3 linked regions of the Arabidopsis thaliana genome follow. The protein of the gene in region 3 purifies or fractionates together with the protein of the main gene of each other region. This does not show direct contact. Each region holds a gene or a part of one and is shown on either strand. Other genes may lie near its edges. The genes, in order: AT3G57890, AT2G42230 and AT1G03960.

Region 1 (6,655 bases), on a different chromosome or scaffold from region 3:
AATGGAGCGATGATGAAGACATTCAAAGATGCTGTGACTGGTTTTGCAACTGGAAAGACGTCCCTCGTATTGAAAGAAACGTTGCTCTTCCAGGACTCATCAGAACGTTGAAGATGATGGGAAGCCACGGGCTGACTTTTGCTGCCATTGGAGGTGTTCATTGGTGTTGAACAGTTGGTGCAGAACTTTAGAGCTAAGAGAGATTTCTTCAATGGAGCACACATTACAATGACTAAAGTAGCAAGAACTCATTATTAGCTGGATCCTGCGCTCATGGATATCTCTGTTCCATCCCATGTCCTTCTGTTTTTGTATCTTGAGATGTTCATGTTATGTTGCATTGTTTGGATGTTTCTACGAATATGAGATTCTGCAAATATGAGAAATTTTGGAGCTCTAAAACTTCTTCAGAAATTTGCACCTACCATGGTAGTAGCCTAACTCTTGCGTCCACTTAAATCTATTTGACCAAGACAAGACTATCTATCAAAACAGTTTTGCTTACAAGTTATAACTTATAACAATTCAAGTCATCATGCTCTATTTGAAGATGAGATTTTCAATAGAGAAGGGAACAAAAACGATGGATTGAAATGTCAAGGAAAGAAAAGCAGAAATCAAGAAAACAATAATCTAAACGAAAGCTTTAAGAGAGTATTTCTGTGCAGATAAGTTACGTTGTGAAGTATTGGTTCCAAACTACAAATCACTGAATCAGGCTGATTTCTCTTTTTTCTTTTTTCTTTTGGTCTTGGGGTGGGGTTTCTTCACTAGCAATATGCCAAATATGATCGAAGGAGCTCTACATGAACAAGACACTTTCCGCTTGGTCTATTATTCTTATTAGTCACCTTGTAGGCAGTAGAGTTGCCTTATATTTCCAGATGCTGTCGCAACAAAAACATAGACTAAGTCAAAACCTAATGAATGATGCATATCAATAAAGTAAAGTAGGGATCGATTCAGAGAAAGTTTTCTTACCGTAAAGCCAGTCTTTGAAATAAACATGGAGTGCACTTGATAGCTCTCGTTTCCGGTTTTCTTCTAGAGGCGCCTCTTTTAACGATCGTCTTGTTTCTTCAAAGTTCTTAAGCTGATGACAAAAAAAATTGCAGATACAAGATCAGATATGGACAAAAATAACAAATGCATTTGTTTATCTGGTTAAGTATAACTTTAAAACATACGTTTCTCTGCTGAGCTGCCATATAAGCATCTGGCAATGGAAATGGATTGTCTTTCGTCGAACCAAGCTCCGCGCCGCTAAACCAGTTTGGGATCTGTGCCATTGTCATTGATACCACCGAAAAACACGTCATTAGATGCTTCATGACACTGAAAAGCATTCACCAATTATTGACGTAAATGTTAGACCCAAATAGAAAATGTACCAAAAAGTTTACGAACTGGTCAGGGTCTACAGAAGCAGCTGATTCAGCCTGTGCATCAGCAACACCGGCAGGATGTGACAGGGAGTCATGTGGATCCACAGCTCCCAGGGCCAATGGTTTGTCCCATTTGTTGATCGTTGGCTCAAGCCCTACCTCCCTCATGTGCTCTTCCAAATGAGAGTAAAATGTATTATATGGAGCGACCTGAAACAAAGTCAAATTGATGCCAGCACTTTAAAAATAGAAGCCCATAATCACTAGAAGCAATATCTGACAATGCCCGCACTCTTAAAAACCAGTAAAACCTTCTTGAGGAAAACATTTGACTAAACGTATCTAGCAGCAGTCTAGCCACCCCTCCAAGTTTGTTTCCACTAGACTTGATGACGTGTCCGAAACGGCTTATTAACCAAACTAACCAAACTAAATCTAGTAAAAAGTCTAGCCACTCAATTTTTTTTACCTTAATATCAGAAAGGTAAATAAGAGCAACATGACATAAAACTTGTAAATTAAACCACAATCTTAAAGAGAAGCTTCACCTGCAGTTTGTGGTTATCACCAACAATAAGTGGCCGCTGATTGACTCCCAAGAAGAATACACATTCACGACAATTGGCAATGCACACTCGTTTGGCAGCTACAATCACATGAACTCTTTCACAGTGCTCAACTTTTATTGCCTGCAGAAATAAATACGGAATTATGTTTGATACATCTTTTAATAAAAGTTGGCAGATATTATAACTTGTTAAATGTTGCTTTGACTATCTTCAGAAAAGATAAAGAAGGAAGAAGCATTGTTTCCATACCTTGCCAACAGCTCCCAAAACTATAGTAGTATCAGAACATCCGTGCACAGTTGCATATCGCAATGGTGCTAAAAGATAAATTACAGAATCATGGCAATTGACAACCTGAAAAATACACAAAACAAGGAGTTGACATGCTTGCACAGAGATTCCATGACTGGAAGAAAAACGGAACAAGGAACAGTCAGACCTTCACAGATCTACCCCTTAGATCGGAGGCTTGCTTAACAAGTGAAGTCTTGGAGACTCCCTCGATTAAACACGGGCCTCTAGTACTAGGTGCAACCTTGTTCGGAGCAGCACAAACATCTGACATCGCATCATCTTGATCGTTAGAAGGTCCGTTCTCTTTTCCAGAAATTCTCTCAGTAATGCTTTCTAAAGCGGAAGCTATGTTTTGCAGAAGCCAGTCATGCACTTGGGAAGCGGGGACTGGAACAGCGGGCATATCCGGATCAGAATTTGCAAAAAAAGGAGTAGCTTGGCTCAATGGAGATACATCAGATCCCTTATCACCAAACTGAACAAGAAAACGCAGATGCTCGAACGCCTCCATAGAGAAAACCTGAACGATATTGGACAAGAAAAAAAAAATTAACTTGTGTTCTCTTTCATTTCCTAAAAAATTCTTATTCCAACATCAGAATTTTATATTCTTGTAGCTTAGAACAGTGACACCCCCTGAGAATATAAGAAAGATTAGAACTTACCAATGATTCATCTCCTTCTCCCTCCACAGGCTCTGCAAGGAGAGAAATGATGTTTGCTAAATGTTTTTGCAGATATGACAACTGATGAGCTTCATCATCTGCCTGTGATGGCATAAATCGACGGCTGTTGCTGCGAACAAGCTGCAGAAATGATGAAAAGGAGATATAAATAACAATTTTAGCTCCAATAAAGTTGGTTCGACCCATGTGATGAGAAACGATAGAATACCAAAGAACAGTGACTGTAGAAAACACTGAAAAGCTTAAGATTATATGACTGTTTTCTAAAAGACTCAATAGAACATCCATACCACACAGGAAACAGAATATTACAGGACTGGAGACCCGAGTCAAAATTCAAGAACACACCAAGCATTATCACCAAATAAACCACGTGAAAGGACCAAACAAAATAAGGTACAACGGAAAAAGAATCAGATTCCGAACCACAAAACAAAGCAAGCTGGCGACTGTTTGACTTTAGTTAGTAAACTAACCAATTACCATTGCCCCAGAGTCATCAGAGAAAGGGGACTGGCAATTAAATACAAGTAAGCATCTTCCTCATTGAGAATTGTTACGAAACTATAGCCACCATCAATTCAATTAATCACCCAAATTTCCGACATTGCTTAACTCTAAGTTTCAGGTAAATCAAATGACTCAGAAAACTTAAACTTGCATTGCAAATTTTAGTTAAATACAATGCGAAATGGAAATAAGTTATTCTCTACCACGTTCCAATTCCATACTCGAGTACAACAGTTCCATTTCAATACCAAACAAATCGCAGGCGCTGGGATTGAGGCACATTATAATAAGAGGGCCAAAAAAAGTAAGAAACTTGCCTGAATTGGCGATAACGCAGACAAGTATCCATCAAAAGCTGAAGTCGATGGCCAAACATCAGCCACCGCTGCGGAGTCCTTATGCGTCCTAGGAAGCAACTTCTTATACGATTGAATGTACAGGAACAAAATAAGATCCCGCAAATCAGCTCCGACGGAATCAACTTCCTCAGGTTTCGCCCGAACCAGAGGGTCAGACTCGGAATGAAGCACCGAACCGAGAGTCTCGAGAACGAGACGCGCATGGTCGCCGGAGATCTGGAGAACGTCGGCGATTGCAGCCGATCCAACGCGGTTATTCGAAGCCGCATCGGCTAGCTTCTGCTTGACAGGGGCTAAGGTTTGGATCGGGTCGGTGAAAACGAGTTTCTGGATCGGGAGGAGTCCGTGCTCGAAAGACACACGCCTTGGATGGATTACTGAATTCGGATTCGTGCTCGAGTTTGGTTCAGGGTCGGGTGCTGAAGGTGGTGGTGATTGGTCGATGAGGTCTTGTTCTTCAGTCATGATTGATTCGTCGCGCGAGGTAGAGAGACAGAAGAGATAGAGAGAGACTGGTCCGGTGGTGAAGTTGCAGATCTTTCTTTGGGTGACGAATCATTTCATTGAAGGAGAAGAGCAGAGAGAGAGATGGTTACAGTGCGTGCACGTGTATGTTAGTAACGTACGCTTCGTTTCTTTGGTCGTTGGATTTACGAGTAGATTAACCTTTGATCTGAGCTATGACACGTCAGATGAACGGAGATAACATGTTAACTAAAGAGGCCCATTTGAGAATTGAATGCAAATCGCATTTAAGTTTTAGTTAGGCCATTGTTGCAATAAGTTAGGTCCTAAGCGTTCGTCAAAAGGAGAAAAGGTGATCATCACAACTCATAATTAGGTTTTACAATAGGGAAATATACTTGGTTACCTAAGTACTTGTAAGTTGTCACTGTTAATTAAAATTGTTAGAAGATTAGTGGGAAAAAGAGAGATAAAATTGGGAAGTTTAGGCCAAAAGAACTCATAACTCGCTTTCATTGCAATTTAAATATTGTCCGCTTGTTTAAGGAAAATGGTTTGCAATGGGTAAACATCGTTTAAATGAGACGGTTATGTTTTTTAGCAGTTACAGAAAAAGGCGGGTAGAAAAAAACGGTTAGAAAAGATGAACAACCTAAAATTAAACCAATTGGTAATATCGTTTAAATAAGGCGGTTATTTTATTTAACACTTACAAAAAAGACTGATAAAAAAAAACGGTTAGAAAATATATTAAAAGAAAAAATGATAAATAATTTAAAATGAACCGTTAAATAATAGTTATGATTAGTAACAAACGGTTAAACAGTAAAAAAAAAAAACTAAATTAAAATATTTAATAAATAACTAAAAATATTTAAAAAACAAAGAAAAACAAAACTCTTTAGTAAATAATTCAAATACATTACAGTTTTAAAAATCTAAGAAACGTTAAATAACTAAAATATTCCAATGGTGAACAAGAGAGGTTGCAAACTCACCTATTTTGTTTAAGCTTTTAACCGTTTGTTTCAATCACCTATTCTTACCACTCGTTTCATCCGTCTATTGCAAGCAATTATTTGATTGGTAATCAAACTAACGGTTGAATTTATCGCCGTTAAATAAATGTTATCAAGCTACTATTGGAATTCGGAAAGGGAACACTATCAACTTTTGGATTCTTAGGTTATCTCATTCATTCAGCTAGCTCAATATTCTGATTTGATTTGATTTGATCCGTTTCGATTCGGTATTTGATTTAATTTGATTCGAAAAATCCGAATATTCGTAAGATTTTGGAGCAAAGCAAATAGAAAAATATAGTATTCGTAAAAATCGAATCAAATAATAAATATTGTTTTTTAAAAAATCGAATATCCGCTTCGATCCGTATCTTTTTATATATATTAGAAAATATAGTATATCTATATATAGATATCATAAATAGTTTGTGTATTGTTGTCATTTTATGTTTTTATGTTAAGATGTTTGTTTGATCATTTTTTTTTATGTTATGTTTTGATCAATGGCATCAAAAAACTATCGGGTTTTAGTTTTGGAATTAGTTTGATAATATTTTGTTGACCGGTGATACCAACAACGGTTATGTTTGGTATTTAGAACTTATTTTAAAAGCACACGGAGACACCAATTAAGGAACGCACGGATAAATTTTTTGAATATATGATATAGTTATATAGTATACATATTTTTTTAATATTTAAATGTATCAAAGCGGATATCCGCAAATATCACAAAAAATTCCGGATATTCGAAATTCCGGATATCTGGAAATTTTCGAAGTAAAGCGAATCACAAAATCAAGTATTCGTTTAAAACGAATCGAATAACAAATATCATAATTTTTCCGGATATCCGCTTCGTGCCCATACCTAATTCTGAGTATAAAATTTAATATTTTTTCTTTATGTAAATACACAAAAAGTGACCATGAACCGTACAGTTTAAAATAGTCATTTTTCGACGAAACAATTACCGTGACGTTGTCTTTAAACCTCTGGAGAAAAGATTTACATATTTTTGATAACTGGTTAAACTTGTTTAACGCATTAATCATCTCTTAAGAAAAAGAGTTGTATATATCTCTCTTGTAGATGTGATAAGATATGGATTACAAACTGTCATCTTAGCAAATTTGTCTTCTTCTTTTTTTTTTATCATTTGTCTTCTTATTACACTTATCAAATTATAGTATTAGTTATGACCGTAGTGGGTGACTCGATCGTGGTAAACGTACGGTGGACTGAAATCCTTCAAGTCGAAGCTATACAAATGCGAGCAAAGCATGATCAACACGTGTCATTTGCAACGACTACCAATATCTTCTTTAATTTCTATCTTACTCTAATTATAAAATTAGATTATTG
Region 2 (6,040 bases), on a different chromosome or scaffold from region 3:
TTATCCGCCGGAGAAGCTTGAGAATTGCTGCGGAGCTGAAATTCGTGAATGCAGAAGAAGCAAAACAGTTAATAGCTGAAGAAGGTTACTCGGTGGTGGATGTAAGAGACAAGACTCAATTCGAGAGAGCTCATATAAAATCTTGCTCCCATATTCCTCTCTTCATTTACAACGAAGACAACGATATTGGTAAGCACTCGAGCCTTAACTTGAACATACTGTGTCTGTATGCATTATAATTCTGAGATTCTGAGTGGTTTTGTCTGAACAAAATTGCAGGCACGATCATAAAGAGGACAGTGCACAACAATTTCTCAGGGCTCTTCTTTGGTTTACCTTTCACGAAAGTGAATCCGGAATTTCTTAAATCTGTTAGAAACGAGTTTTCTCAAGACAGCAAACTTTTACTTGTTTGCCAAGAAGGTCTCAGGTTGGTAGAACAAACTCTGGATTTCACTGAGACATGTATCACCAAATGTAGTATGAAGAAAAATTATAAGTTTCTTTGTTCGATTCTTGAAAAGATCTGCAGCTGCAGCTAGTAGATTGGAGGAAGCAGGTTACGAAAACATTGCTTGTGTAACATCAGGGCTACAATCTGTAAAACCAGGTTTGATCCCATTTGGTTTCATCTAAGATCATTTCTTGAGGGGTTTTGGAGATAGTTTGGTTTGAGAAGGATAATGAATCGGATTTACTGTTGTTGCGACTTTAGGGACATTTGAATCCGTCGGTTCCACTGAGTTGCAGAATGCAGGCAAAGCAGGGCTTATCACAATTCAAGGCAAGATCTCAGCAGTCTTAGGGACAGTACTCGTCTGTAAGTTTAATTTACATAGAGCTGAAGAATATAGAGAATGTTGTTTGGTCTTTCCTTTGGTTATGAGTAAGACTTTGTTGAACTTGCAGGTGCTTATTTGTTCATACAGTTCTTCCCGGACCAAGCAGAGAAGCTCTTTCCTCCAACAAGCTAAGACAAGACAAAGAAAACAATTGAGGCAGACATGTTTTCACATTTTCTGCCTGTTTTGAATGTGATGCTTAAGAGAAAATTCAAAATATTTAAAATTCCCAAGTAGTAGTTACTAAAAGATTTATATATATGGTATTGAGAAAAGTTGTTATAACAATTGAAAGAAATCAACAACAAGACAAGATGGCTTAATGTTTTTCAAGGACAAAAACGTGGATATTTAAGACTAATAAATACGATAAAAGCAGAGAGAAACCTACACACAAAAAAACAGAGCTTTAGGAGTTAGAGAGCGTGCTGTGCAGTTAAATTCTGATGTCAAACGTGCTAGCAAATCTCTGAGAAGGAACGGATCAAGAGAACTCTACAGTGACTCTGACATTTTCAATCGCCATTGGTCTTAATCGCCTTGTAGGCAGTAAAGTTGCCGAATATTTCCCGTCGCTGTCACCAAAAGAAAGAGATACATATAGATCATTGGCTGGCCAAAGGAGTAAATGAACTAGAATGGGGATTTTATTTGATTACCGTATAGCCAGTCTTTGAAATACATGTGGAACGCTGTAGTGAGTTCTCGTTTTCGGTTTTCTTCGAGAGGTGTTTCTCTCAAGGATTGTCTTGTTTCCTCTAAGTTCTTAAGCTGCTCAAAACCAAAACACAGTTAAGGGATCAGATGCTGAAGTATGGATGAAAAAGAAACGAGCAATTTTATGCGGAAAGCAAATAAAAAACATACGTTTGTCTGCTGCACTGCCTTATATGCATCTGGCAATGGAAATGGATTGTCTTTCGTGGAACCAATCGCCTCACCCGCAAACCAGTTTGGGATCTGAACCAGAGACATTGATGTGAGAAATTAACCCACGAACACAATCTTAATAACCAATATCACTAGTTACTAGAGGAAAATTAAACTAACAAAAAGGGGAATCTAACCAAAAAGGTAGTGAACTGGTCAGGGTCCACACAAGAAGCCGGTTCAGCTTGTTTATCAGAGGCACCAGTCGGATGTGATAGTGAGTCATGCGGATCAATTGCTCCGAGCGCCAAGGATTCGTTCCATTTGTTGATAGTTGGCTGAATTCCTACCTCGGTTATGTGCTCCTCCAAGTGTGAGTAAAATGTATTATATGGAGCAACCTGGAACAGATAACAGTCACATTGATGCCAACAGTTATAGACAACACATCAGAAGATGTTTCCACTTAACTCAGTTGAAGAAGTGACTTTAACAGCATGCTCAATTTTCCAAACACCAGGAACCATTAATACGATCATGACTATACCAGGATATTAACACAGGAAAGATTTAGCCTAGAGTTAAAAGAAAAACTGTAGTCTATTTATTAATTTCAGCTGAATATCAGGGCGGGAAAGAAGAGTTATGTATGCAGCTCAATCTTAAATAGACATATCACCTGTAGTTTGTGGTTATCACCAACTATAAGAGGTCGCTGATTGACTCCCAAAAAGAACACACATTCACGGCAATTGGCGATGCAAATTCGTTTGGTAGCTACAATCACATGAACTCTCTCACAATGCTCAACTTTTACTGCCTGCAAAGAACATAAAATATTATCACTGCATTCTAACCTGAACCTCGCTAACAAAGACTAAAACAGAAAGGAGTATATTTGCCGTACCTTGCCAGCAGCTCCCAGAACGATAGTAGAATCAGAACACCCATACACAGTTGCATATCTCAATGGCGCTAACAGATAAATAACAGAATCATGGCAATTGGCAACCTGCAGAATACACAAAACATGCAATTGACGTGCATACATGAGTAAACGAAACTAAATGAGGGATTGCTGTTTAAAATGCAAATTAGTTGTTCAATACGGACCTTCACTGATCTACCCTTAAGATCAGAAGCCTGCTTGAAAAGTGAGGTCTTAGAGACTCCCTCAATAATACATGGACCTCTGTCGTTAGATGAAACTTTATTAAGAGCTACACTAGAATCAGCCATTGCAGCATTCTGATCAGAGGCATTAGATGCCCCATTTTCTTTCCCAGAGATTCTGTTAGAAATGCTTTCTAAGGCGGAAGCTATGTCTTTGAGAAGCCAATCATTCACTTGGGAAGCAGGAACGGGGACAGCGGGCATATCAGGATCAGAATTCGCAAAAAAAGGAGTAGCTTGGCTTAAAGAAGGTACATCAAATCCCTTATCACCATAATGAACAAGAAACCCAATGTGCTCCAAACTCTCCATAGACAGGACCTGAGGAGGAGATTCGGACCATCTAGCATGAGATATTCGTTCTTTTCCATTTCCCATAATATTGCATCACAACATAAAATTTTCTATCCATCTGATACAAACATAAAAAAAGTTTAGCACATACCAAAGAATCATCTCCTTGTCCCTCCACAGGCTCTGCAAGGAGAGAAATAATATTTGCAATGTGCTTTTGCAGATACGATAATTGATGAGCTTCTTCATCTGTCGGTGATGGCATAAACCGACGGCTGTTGCTACGAACAAGCTGCAAGATGATGAAAGGAAATTTAACTTAAACTCAACAGCTACAAGGATGTCTCTACCCATATGATAGAAACAGTAATGAGAACAATTATCGGTAAAATATTTCAAATATCAGACAATCCTTTTCATATGTTTCTGAATGATAACGTAATATTATTTAACTTGCATTGCAAAATTATAGTAAAATCCAATGCAAAATGAAATTTTTTAAACCAAATAGATCACAAGATAACGTTTTGAGCCACATTACATGATTAAGAGAATAAAAAAGCTTGCCTGAATTGGAGATAATGCCGACAAGTATCCATCAAAAGCAGAAGTCGAAGGCCAAACATCAGCCACAGAAGCAGAGTCTTTATGCGTCCTAGGCAATAACTTCTTATACGATTGAATGTAGAGAAACAATATCAGATCCCTCAAATCAGCTCCCACGGAATCAACTTCCTCAGGTTTGGCCAAAACCAATGGGTCAGTCTCGCAATGGAGCACCGAAGAGAGAGTTTCGAGAACGAGGCGCGCATGGTCATCGGAGATCGAGAGTGCATCGGAAATGGCAGCAGATCCGACGCGATGATTCGTCGCCAAAGAAGCTAACTTTTGCTTGATCGGAGCTAGAGTTTGAATCGGGTCGGTAAAAACGAGCTTCTGGATCGGAAGAAGGCCGTGCTCGAAAGGAACACGTCTTGGGTGGATTATTAAATTCGAATTTTGAATCGGGTCTGGGTCAGGTGGTGGTGATTGGTCGATGAGCTCTTCCGTCATTATGCTTTAAACCAGAGAACGAGAGAAAAAGAACTGTTATGAATGAAGTTGCAGATCTTTGAACATAGGAACAATTGTCATCAAGAAGAAGAAAAAAAGAGAGAGAGTGTTATGTTACAGTGTGTGCAACCACATGCTATTATCCTACGCCTGGTGATGAACAATGGGTCAAAAAGGCCGATATTTAAATGGGCTTTAAACGGCCCATTAAGTAACGCGATTAGTTTCTTCTCCGTTGTAAACTGCGACTTTCACCGGCCACGAGATTAAGTCGTTGTCAATGGATGATTTGGAAGCTTACTATTCTCACTATAATTTACCGGCGATGGTTCCTCCTCCGCCGCCGGGAGTTTCTCCGATTCCAATTACTTCAGCTCATTCCGTCTATTTGCCTACCCATGTCTCAATTGGAGCTCGCGATGAGGTTAGGACGCTTTTCGTCGCCGGACTTCCTGAAGATGTCAAGCCTCGGGAGATCTACAATCTCTTTCGTGAGTTCCCAGGATATGAGACTTCGCATCTCCGGAGCTCAGATGGAGCTAAGGTAATCATTTTCTATCTCTCCGGATTTGTGATTTGGGTAATGATGTTTCCCGGCGAAGAGACTGAGAATCTTACTTTATTTGTTTGGTAGCCCTTCGCATTTGCTGTGTTCTCGGATCTGCAATCAGCTGTAGCGGTGATGCATGCTCTCAATGTGAGTACAAATTTCTTCAAACTTGCTCTTGCAATGTGTCGCCGATGTATCTACTTACAAAGCATTAAGTAAATTTGGTATCTTTATGGTTGTTCTTAATTCAATCTAGTAAATTGAAATCATTCGGTTGGGATTTGTATGCGTAAGTGAATAAGCTTTGTCATTTGCCTAGATTAAGAAACTTTCTGAATTTTATTTCTGAACCTTTCAGGGAATGGTGTTTGATCTTGAAAAGCATTCTACTCTTCACATTGACCTTGCCAAATCAAATCCCAAATCTAAGCGTTCAAGAACAGGCAAGTAGTAGGATTCTTTCGGTTCGGTAGCTCAATAAAAATTTGACCTTTGCTATTGTTGTGTTAATTTTTATTTTGTGATTTTTGTGATATGGTAGATGATGGTTGGGAAAGCTTGAAAAAACTCAAGTCTTGGAACACTACTACTGAATCTGGTAAGATCATTGGCACACACCTTCATCTTGAGGCTTCTTGTAACCTTCTGTATTTTATGTTTCTTGTAACTGAATGTTTGTGTAGTATATATATTTTCAAACTTCCAATCTTCATGACCATCACGCTCATGCATGCTAGCTCTTTTTGGTTTAAGATTTCACACTTGGGCTTTAAGTGCCGTCAACATGGTTTCACGTTTCTGAAAACTCACACTGCACATTCTTGCACGTTTGGGCACTAGCAGGTTTTGGCAGCTTTCAAACTCCTGGAATGAGTAGTTCTGCTTACAACACAATTGGTTATTCACCTGCACAAAGGTCATCTGCACTACTTGAGCACATTTCTAGTTCCTTGTGAATGCTTAGATTCTGTTTCTTTGTTGCACACTCTTTTCTTGTACCTCTGCCTTGAAAATCTGACCTACTTAAGGATTAGCTGAACTAGTCCTAGCTCACATGTCTAGATACTGGTTACGAGAGTGCTTGTTCTTTCTTAGCTATTAGCTCACGAAACTCAGGGTCTCATTAAATTCTTTTTGCTCGTTCAGTCAAGGAATTGCTAATGTTGCTGGGAGGGCACCGACTTCTAGAAAACCTGTAAGCTTCTGCCTATTTTATACTTCATATGAGTATTGTTTTCTGTCTGGACGAAAAACAGTG
Region 3 (7,295 bases):
AGATATCTTATAAATCAGCAAAAAGCTATGTATTATCCATTACATCCCTTAGATACATTACAGGTAACTAAGTACTAACCATATCACCATCACTTTACTATATAGATTATAATATAGTAATCAAGCCCATATGTTTTTATTTTTTTTACATACAAAAGTTTTTTTTACCACACTTCACCATTCCAAGGAATGGCTCCTGCTTAAGGGCCTCGACGGTGGCCTTGGTTTCTCATCGACCGGAATCAGAACCTCCATGAGCTTCTTGTATCTCTCTTTAGTGCTCTCTTCAATCTCCTTCAAAAGCTGCTCATTCTCCTCCTCTAACTTGGCAGCCAAAGTCTCTAACTCAACCTGATAAGCCTGTTTCCTCTCTCGAGACCTAGCAGCGGATTCACGGTTCTTGATCATCCTCTTCTGTCTCTGAGCTGCAGCTTTATCCATTGCCTCCATCATCACTCTCCCTCTCTTTCCTCTCGTTACTCCTCCACCCATTGATCCTTCAACCATCTGGAACGAACTGTGTCGCTGCATCGGAAAATCAAATGTATAGCTACCGTCGTTGTTGAGTCTCTCCGTTGGAATCTTCACATCGATTTCATCTGAAGCTCCCTCGTCCATTTCTGCTTTCGCTAAGAAATCCTCAAGTGTCATTATATCTTCTGGTTCTTCTTCCTTCATCATGATCGTCTTTTGCTCTCCAGATACAATCTCTTTCCAAACATCGTCAACACTCTTTCCGTTGTTAACGCTGTTCCGATCTCCGATACTCCGATCAACATCAATCGCCATCTCGAAGGGCTTTGAATCAGACGCGAAAGTGTAATCGTTGACTCCTCCGCCGTAAGCGAAACTGATTCTGGAGTGATCGGCGTGAGGATTTGGTCGGAGATGGTGCGATGATCTTATAGAAGGGGAAGATGAAGCAGAAGAAGAATTACGGCGAGACAAGTCGGAATTGGAAGAAGACATCAACTTGAAGGACGCCATTTCCGGAGCTCACTGGAATTGGAACGAATTTTTATCTATCTGGGTTTTGTCAAAGAGAAAGAACAATCGGAAATGGTGGATTTTCTTCGAACCAGAGATCGAGAGAGATCTTTCTAGGGTTATCTCTAGTGTTTTGCAATGTAACCACGCGCTTACTCTCTATATACAAGTTTAATTAACTAATCACGCGCACATTAAACGCGTGACTTGCACCTTCTATCAACTATACTATAAGGAGATGTTTTTTCTTTTCTTTTTAATTAAGAAAAAAGATTTACTATTCAGATTTCTTTCTCTTTTTTTTTTTATGAAAAAGATATCAGTGCAACTAAAGAGATTTACAATTCAGATTTCTTTCTGAAAATATATTCGTGTGACAGTAAAGACTAAAAGAGTTTAACAATTCAGATTTATGAGTACATTCTGAGTTGGACAATCCAACTGGTTATATGGACACTAGATGATGTAGAGGGAGAGAGGGCCCAACTTGATATAATCTTTATAATGAAACCAAAACAAAATTGCAAAAATTTCATGAATTTGGCTGAGACTCTTTTGGAAATGATGATGAAAGCGTCTGGTAACAACCAACAGTGACCTCCAATCTCTGATCATGGATCTCTCTCCAGGGAAAACCTCAAATCATAAGTCTCCTTATTTGGTTGGTTTCTGTAGTCAAGATCGGCTTTCGACTCAATAAATCACAGAATTTTATAAGCATTTGCATTTCCTATACACAAGCAGTGTGAACTTACCACTATGGACTAAAATGGAGGTTCGAGTGGTTCATCCCAGACATCTGCACTCCCATTTGAGACTTCATCTACATCTTCCTCCATTGACAATCTCGCATACTCTCTCTGAGCAAATCGATCCCACTCTGTCAAATTTGGATCTTCCCGTTCCTACAGCAATGAAAGAGAATTATACTTGTTCTAATTGCCTCAATCCGAACTACTACAAACTGCCTTTAGCAGTTAAAAGAAGTCATATTCTTTGTTATTTTTTTCCCTCTTGAGTGCTATAAAAACTCCACTGGTAAGCCAAACTTACCTGGCGAATGAGAAATGGGTCACGTGTTTCAAATGCCATGAACTTATTAAGGTTGAAGAGTATATTGAAAACGTTTGCTGAAAGTTTCGATCCTTTCAGATCCTGGAGGGTGATACAGTTCTCCTTCTGCAAGGACATCCACCATATAGATGATTCCAGTCAAATAAATGATAAATAACAAAAAAGCTCGGAAAAATCAAACAACCATGTTCTGGTTTGTAAAGTAACTAACCTCGGGTCCAATCATGTCAATTATTTGACATAGGATATCACTGAAAAGAACAGCTTCCTGGGTTATGCATTCCATGCGATGCAGCTGCTCTTCGAAGAAAAACTGCATTTCGTTTGAAGTGATTACCCCATTTCCATCCAAGTCTACGCATTTGAACCTGCACGGAAAATTTCAATCAGTGTCAAGTAAAATACACGGACTTGCAAAAATATTGAGTTTTGACATCCATAATAGATAGATGAGCATACTAGGCTATAAACTAGTATCAGATTGTTAGATTGTTAGTGCCCGAGTATAAACAAGGATCCTATGTTCATGAAAAAATGGTACCATACAATGATTACTAAATATATCTGAGGAAGAGGACTTGTTACAAGTAACAAGTCCTCAAGTCACTGGTTTTGACTCCGTTGTAGTATATATATCAAGATCTTGTGATCTAAACCAAGGGGCAACATTCATTAAGGAAAACCAATATCAACACGGAGGGGGAGATGTGTACCAATACTCAAGACTAGGCTCGGAAGACTTGTCTTCCTCAGCGAGAATGAAGTACACAAAATCTTCATAACTCATCTTCCCTTCAACTTTACTCGTAAACTTCCTTGGAATCTAAAAGAGAAACATAGCCACAAGACGCATGGAGATCAAATAAAAAGGATCACATCATACTATATAACTTAGCTTTTAAGAAGGTCTAGGCAGGAACAATTTTGGGAACCAACCTGTGAAAATATTCTATCAACAATCCTGTAGGTAAGGGCATTATTACCATATTTGATGAGATTGTCCTTATCAATAAAACAATCATGGTCACCATCAAGTTCCCAAAATTTGCAGTATATCACGTAGAAGTGCTCATAGGAGAAGTACCTGAAAATTAAAAGAAACGACATGATTGCAAATGGTAAAATCAGGCATAAGTTCTGTTACAGAAGCAATATGAAGGTATAAGCCAATACTCATATAGCTCTTCCATTTTGAACTGTTTAATGTTACATATGTGATAAACCCTCGAACTTTAATATATTTTCGTAAGCTTGTTTACTCCTTATATAACAACAGAATATGTTTGAATTTCAAATACTTATTGTTAGGAAATTATGAAAAGAAAAAATAAACTCACCTAATAATTTTATTAATGTCGTCCTCTTCATCAAGTTGTTGCATAGCAGCAATTAAATTTCCACGTCTCAGCTCTCTAAGAGTAAGGCAGCCAGTTCCGGATCTGTTAATGTAGTAAAATATTCTGTAGATGACCGTTTCAGCTGGGTAATCAACAAAGGATTAAAATTAGTACAAGTATGAATCTAACATAAGTACATATCTAGTAGAGATATAAAGATGTATGCACAGAAAGAACGTCTTATTGAGTAGGTTTCATCATTTTTAACACCATGACAATCAGTAAGTCACAAATCAATGGTTCCTACCATATCTTTCTTGAAACTCGCTTATCGTCCTCAAAAATTCTAATCCAGGATGTGTTGCCAGAAGCTCATCAAGAACTGGTTTGAAGTCTGCCTGTAGCCAAATCCAAGAAATGATCAAAATGTATGGCACAATGGGTTAAGAAAAGGAAGACAATTGTTGGAAAATAAATCAGAACGCGGTTGGAGAAAAGCGGGAGAAGAATCACAAAAAGACCTGTCTGAGATAGCTGCAGCCCTGCTGCCTTAGTATATTATATATCTGGGAGGCTGTGTCCATAGTTAACATATTGCCATCAATCCAATACTTGATAAATGCATCCCTGAGGACAATTGGTCAATCAGCAAACATTAGTACCGCACCAATTACCCAACAAAGCTTTATAAGAAAATAGAGCAAGCACCCAAAGTTCTCATACTACTTTTAAAAAACATTTTATAAAAGAATAAATGAGTCATATATGGAGCTACCTTGTAACTATATCAGTGCAATTGGGATCGATCTTTCTGAAAAGTGCAGGAGAAAGAAAAGAAGGCAGCTTGCAGACTTGTTTCGTAATGGATTTGAATTCTGCAAGAGGAACGAGAATGGTAAAATGAACTGCCTTATATATTCCTTAGAAGGACAAAAATAGAACAAAAACATCACCATCTACATGTAGTCCATCAATATAGTTACTAAAAACTTGATCAACCATGGATAGACATTGCTCCTTTAGTTCTTTTGCTGGTGGACGCCCGTGTTGGTAGTAGAACTGCAGAAATTATAAACATATGAACAGTTGTGAGCGAAACTTATTATCATGTCACAGTGAAGGACCATTTTTCGTTCAAATCAAGTTTACCTACAAATTAGTAGCCTCGGTTTAAATTGTACCCTGCATCTACTAACGAAAGCTATCTGTTTCAACGACCAATCCAGTGAACATAGATACTAGACCAAAATCACAGGTCCAGAGGCAGGAAATGAGAACAAACCTGAGGAATGAGTTGGCGCTTTGGCTCCTTGAGTGATCTAAGAGGAGAGTGGAGAGAAGGAGGGCTAGTCCTTTGCCTGGAGAAACGAGGGGAACCAGAGGAGCTTCGTGGAGATAGTGGGGGAGTGCTGCTGCTCAGAAACACAGAAGGCAAATTCTTGGATTTATTAGTTGGTGTTCCAGATTTAGCATCATCAATCAAAGACTTGACCTACAGAAACATGAAAAATGGGAAACCAAGGTCATGGAACACACTTGTGTAAAAGAGAGGCCAAGGAAGGAAGTGTAGAAATAAGAAGGTGGCTACCAATGTGGCAGTTTCAGGGAGTGAGAGCCACTGAGAGAAGAGGTCATCAGCAATAAGAGAGGTTGGTTTGAGGGGAGAAGGAGACAAACCGGGGAGCTGCAAGAGCTCAGGATCTAAAATATGAAGATCGTCGTCTACTCCGTCAATATCCATGATCTCCGCAACGAGAAGCCCTACTTGTTCAAACTCCTTGAATCGTAACAAAAGCGCCGGGAAAATCGAGAAATTCAAAATTCGACAACAGCGGCTATGAAAAGTCGACGCTACTGTGTGAACCAACTTGAATTATTATAATTGGAGAAACAACAATCCGATTCGATAAACCCTAGTTATCGAATTTGATATAAGTAAAGTACAAAATCACTGAGGATTTGTTTCCAAAAATAGACAGATGATTGGACACGTAAGATTCCTACACCGAGTAGGAAGGAAGTTGGCAGATGAGCGAACAAAGCAATTCCGATCAATAATCGGCAAAGAAAAATGGGGAGGTTCTGAGATTTTGCCGGAAAGTTATCAAAGGAAAGGAGGAGGAGGACCTCGAGAGATATTTATTACTCACCGGCCGTTTCTTTTTCTTTTTTTTTTCACTTCTTTCTGTTTGACCCCCCTATCTCCTTTTGCCAAGGATTAAAATTAATTTTGTTTTTAGATTAATTTAATCAAAACAAAAATATAATATTGTATCATATATTTATTTATTTATTCTAAATAGAAAATACTTAGGTTAGTAGTAGTCGTGTAAAAAAAACGATTTAATTACATTATGTATAACGTTTTAGCTATAAATTCTCGTATTTGTGGAATTTAATAATCACAGTAAAAAAACTAATAATCAAATATAAATAAGAATATTTACGTAATCGATGAGAAAATTAAAACCTTCAAAAATTTGCTGCGATCACGTTTGAAGCTAAATCTCTCTCTCTCTAACTACCTCTGTGGTACAGAGTCTCCGTGTTCTAAAAGCTTTGAGACCATCTTCAATTTCACAGAGAAAAACAAAACAAGCAAGGAGAAGAAACATGAACATCTTCACTAAGAAACCTAATCCCAGAGGTTTAATTCCACCGGATTTTTCTTTTGTATCATTATGGATTTTGTTTTCTCAATTAGGTTTTTTTTTTCTCCGATTGATCAACCTAAATGGAATTTTGATCATCTGGGTTTCTTCCGGTTGACTTCTTCTGTAATTTTGTGGCGCGTTCGTGATCATGTTTCTTTTGGAATCTGGCTTGGTTTCGTCTGAATTCGAGAATCTTAATGTCTATTGAAATCGGACTGTCAGAATCTGAATGTTTCGTTTTTTTTTTTGGCAATTGCAGAAGTGCTTCGGGAGAGTAAGAGAGAGATGACACAAGCTACCAGAGGTATTCTTTGTTCATATGCTTGGATTATTGAATCTAGAAAAAGGTTAATTCATTGTTTTTGATTGCTTGATTGATAAGCTACTATGTTCCATGGCTTTAACTAGATATTACTCAAGTATTTATCGCCATATACCTAAATTCCTCTCAAACTGATGAAATTTTCCACCTTTTCGTGTTTTGGCTTCAGGAATCGAAAAGGAAATCGGATCTCTGCAATCAGAAGTATGAGTGTGGCTCAGTTAGTAACGTTTTCATCCATCTTTTTAAAAGGGACATATCTAAAAAACGTTTTCTTTCATGTTTGATAGGAAAAAAAGCTCGTTCTCGAGATCAAAAGAACTGCTAAATCAGGCAATGAGGTATTTCAAGCATTCCTTATCAGTAATAGCATCTAGTTTATGTACACTACATCTTTTGTTTTTATGCAGGGAGCGACTAAGATTCTTGCTCGGCAATTGATCCGTCTAAGGCAGCAAATAGCTAACTTACAAGGTAGCCGAGCTCAAATGCGAGGCATTGCTACTCATACACAGGTTTCTTAATTTAAACAACTTCTATCCTTTCATTCTAAAGTATTTCTGTTTATAAACCAAGAAGATTGAGTATTGGAAGCTTTCTCTTTGGTGTTTAGGCTATGCATGCACACACTTCAGTTGCTGCTGGAATGCAAGGTGCCACTAAGGCAATGGCAGCTATGAGCAAGGTCAGATTCCCTATGTAACACAAATCTGATTTGTCCATGTTTAATTATTTGATTGGATTCATCAAGTTAAATTAGTAGAAATAACTTAAATCCAGTAGGAATTTTGAGGGGCTCTTTTGTTAAGATCTTGTTGTTTCTGTGGGTTTTCCAGAATATGGATCCAGCAAAACAGGCTAAGGTTATGAGAGAATTTCAAAAGCAGTCTGCACAAATGGACATGACTGTAAGTTCTTTCA

Evidence for each region.
Region 1: the proteins of AT1G03960 (region 3) and AT3G57890 fractionate together in Arabidopsis thaliana (co-fractionation; one large-scale study listed by BioGRID). This does not show direct contact.
Region 2: the proteins of AT1G03960 (region 3) and AT2G42230 fractionate together in Arabidopsis thaliana (co-fractionation; one large-scale study listed by BioGRID). This does not show direct contact.

Annotation. Positions count from the first base shown.
Region 1 is NC_003074.8:21,435,884-21,442,538, reverse strand, and holds AT3G57890 (Tubulin binding cofactor C domain-containing protein), read right to left. Parts: upstream 4,456-6,655; 5' UTR 4,269-4,455; coding exon 3,762-4,268; intron 3,251-3,761; coding exon 3,143-3,250; intron 3,055-3,142; coding exon 2,914-3,054; intron 2,769-2,913; coding exon 2,394-2,768; intron 2,309-2,393; coding exon 2,204-2,308; intron 2,075-2,203; coding exon 1,934-2,074; intron 1,596-1,933; coding exon 1,392-1,595; intron 1,281-1,391; coding exon 1,188-1,280; intron 1,094-1,187; coding exon 982-1,093; intron 888-981; coding exon 844-887; 3' UTR 651-843; downstream 1-650. Other genes in the region: AT3G57900 (import inner membrane translocase subunit Tim17/Tim22/Tim23 family protein), read left to right, coding at 1-66, 154-258.
Region 2 is NC_003071.7:17,592,332-17,598,371, forward strand, and holds AT2G42230 (C-CAP/cofactor C-like domain-containing protein), read right to left. Parts: upstream 4,335-6,040; 5' UTR 4,233-4,334; coding exon 3,747-4,232; exon of another isoform or gene 3,567-3,746; intron 3,472-3,566; coding exon 3,331-3,471; intron 3,207-3,330; coding exon 2,826-3,206; intron 2,725-2,825; coding exon 2,620-2,724; intron 2,533-2,619; coding exon 2,392-2,532; intron 2,254-2,391; coding exon of another isoform or gene 2,248-2,253; intron 2,114-2,247; coding exon 1,910-2,113; intron 1,803-1,909; coding exon 1,710-1,802; intron 1,614-1,709; coding exon 1,502-1,613; intron 1,418-1,501; coding exon 1,374-1,417; 3' UTR 1,080-1,373; downstream 1-1,079. Other genes in the region: AT2G42220 (Rhodanese/Cell cycle control phosphatase superfamily protein), read left to right, coding at 1-189, 280-430, 525-610, 716-820, 910-974; AT2G42240 (RNA-binding (RRM/RBD/RNP motifs) family protein), read left to right, coding at 4,513-4,776, 4,867-4,929, 5,141-5,225, 5,324-5,380, 5,626-5,698, 5,929-5,977.
Region 3 is NC_003070.9:1,011,929-1,019,223, reverse strand, and holds AT1G03960 (Calcium-binding EF hand family protein), read right to left. Parts: upstream 5,573-7,295; 5' UTR 5,140-5,572; coding exon 4,987-5,139; exon of another isoform or gene 4,891-4,986; coding exon 4,681-4,890; intron 4,604-4,680; exon of another isoform or gene 4,548-4,603; intron 4,458-4,547; coding exon 4,352-4,457; intron 4,311-4,351; exon of another isoform or gene 4,274-4,310; coding exon 4,174-4,273; intron 4,026-4,173; coding exon 3,920-4,025; intron 3,797-3,919; coding exon 3,706-3,796; intron 3,541-3,705; coding exon 3,399-3,540; intron 3,146-3,398; coding exon 2,998-3,145; intron 2,885-2,997; coding exon 2,775-2,884; intron 2,430-2,774; coding exon 2,273-2,429; intron 2,167-2,272; coding exon 2,041-2,166; coding exon of another isoform or gene 1,987-2,040; exon of another isoform or gene 1,893-1,986; coding exon 1,752-1,892; 3' UTR 1,743-1,751; intron 1,657-1,742; 3' UTR 1,267-1,656; downstream 1-1,266. Other genes in the region: GBF4 (G-box binding factor 4), read right to left, coding at 175-987; VPS2.3 (vacuolar protein sorting-associated protein 2.3), read left to right, coding at 6,012-6,045, 6,312-6,356, 6,544-6,578, 6,665-6,715, 6,785-6,889, 6,988-7,059, 7,211-7,282. UniProt on the Arabidopsis thaliana protein: Probable regulatory subunit of type 2A protein phosphatase.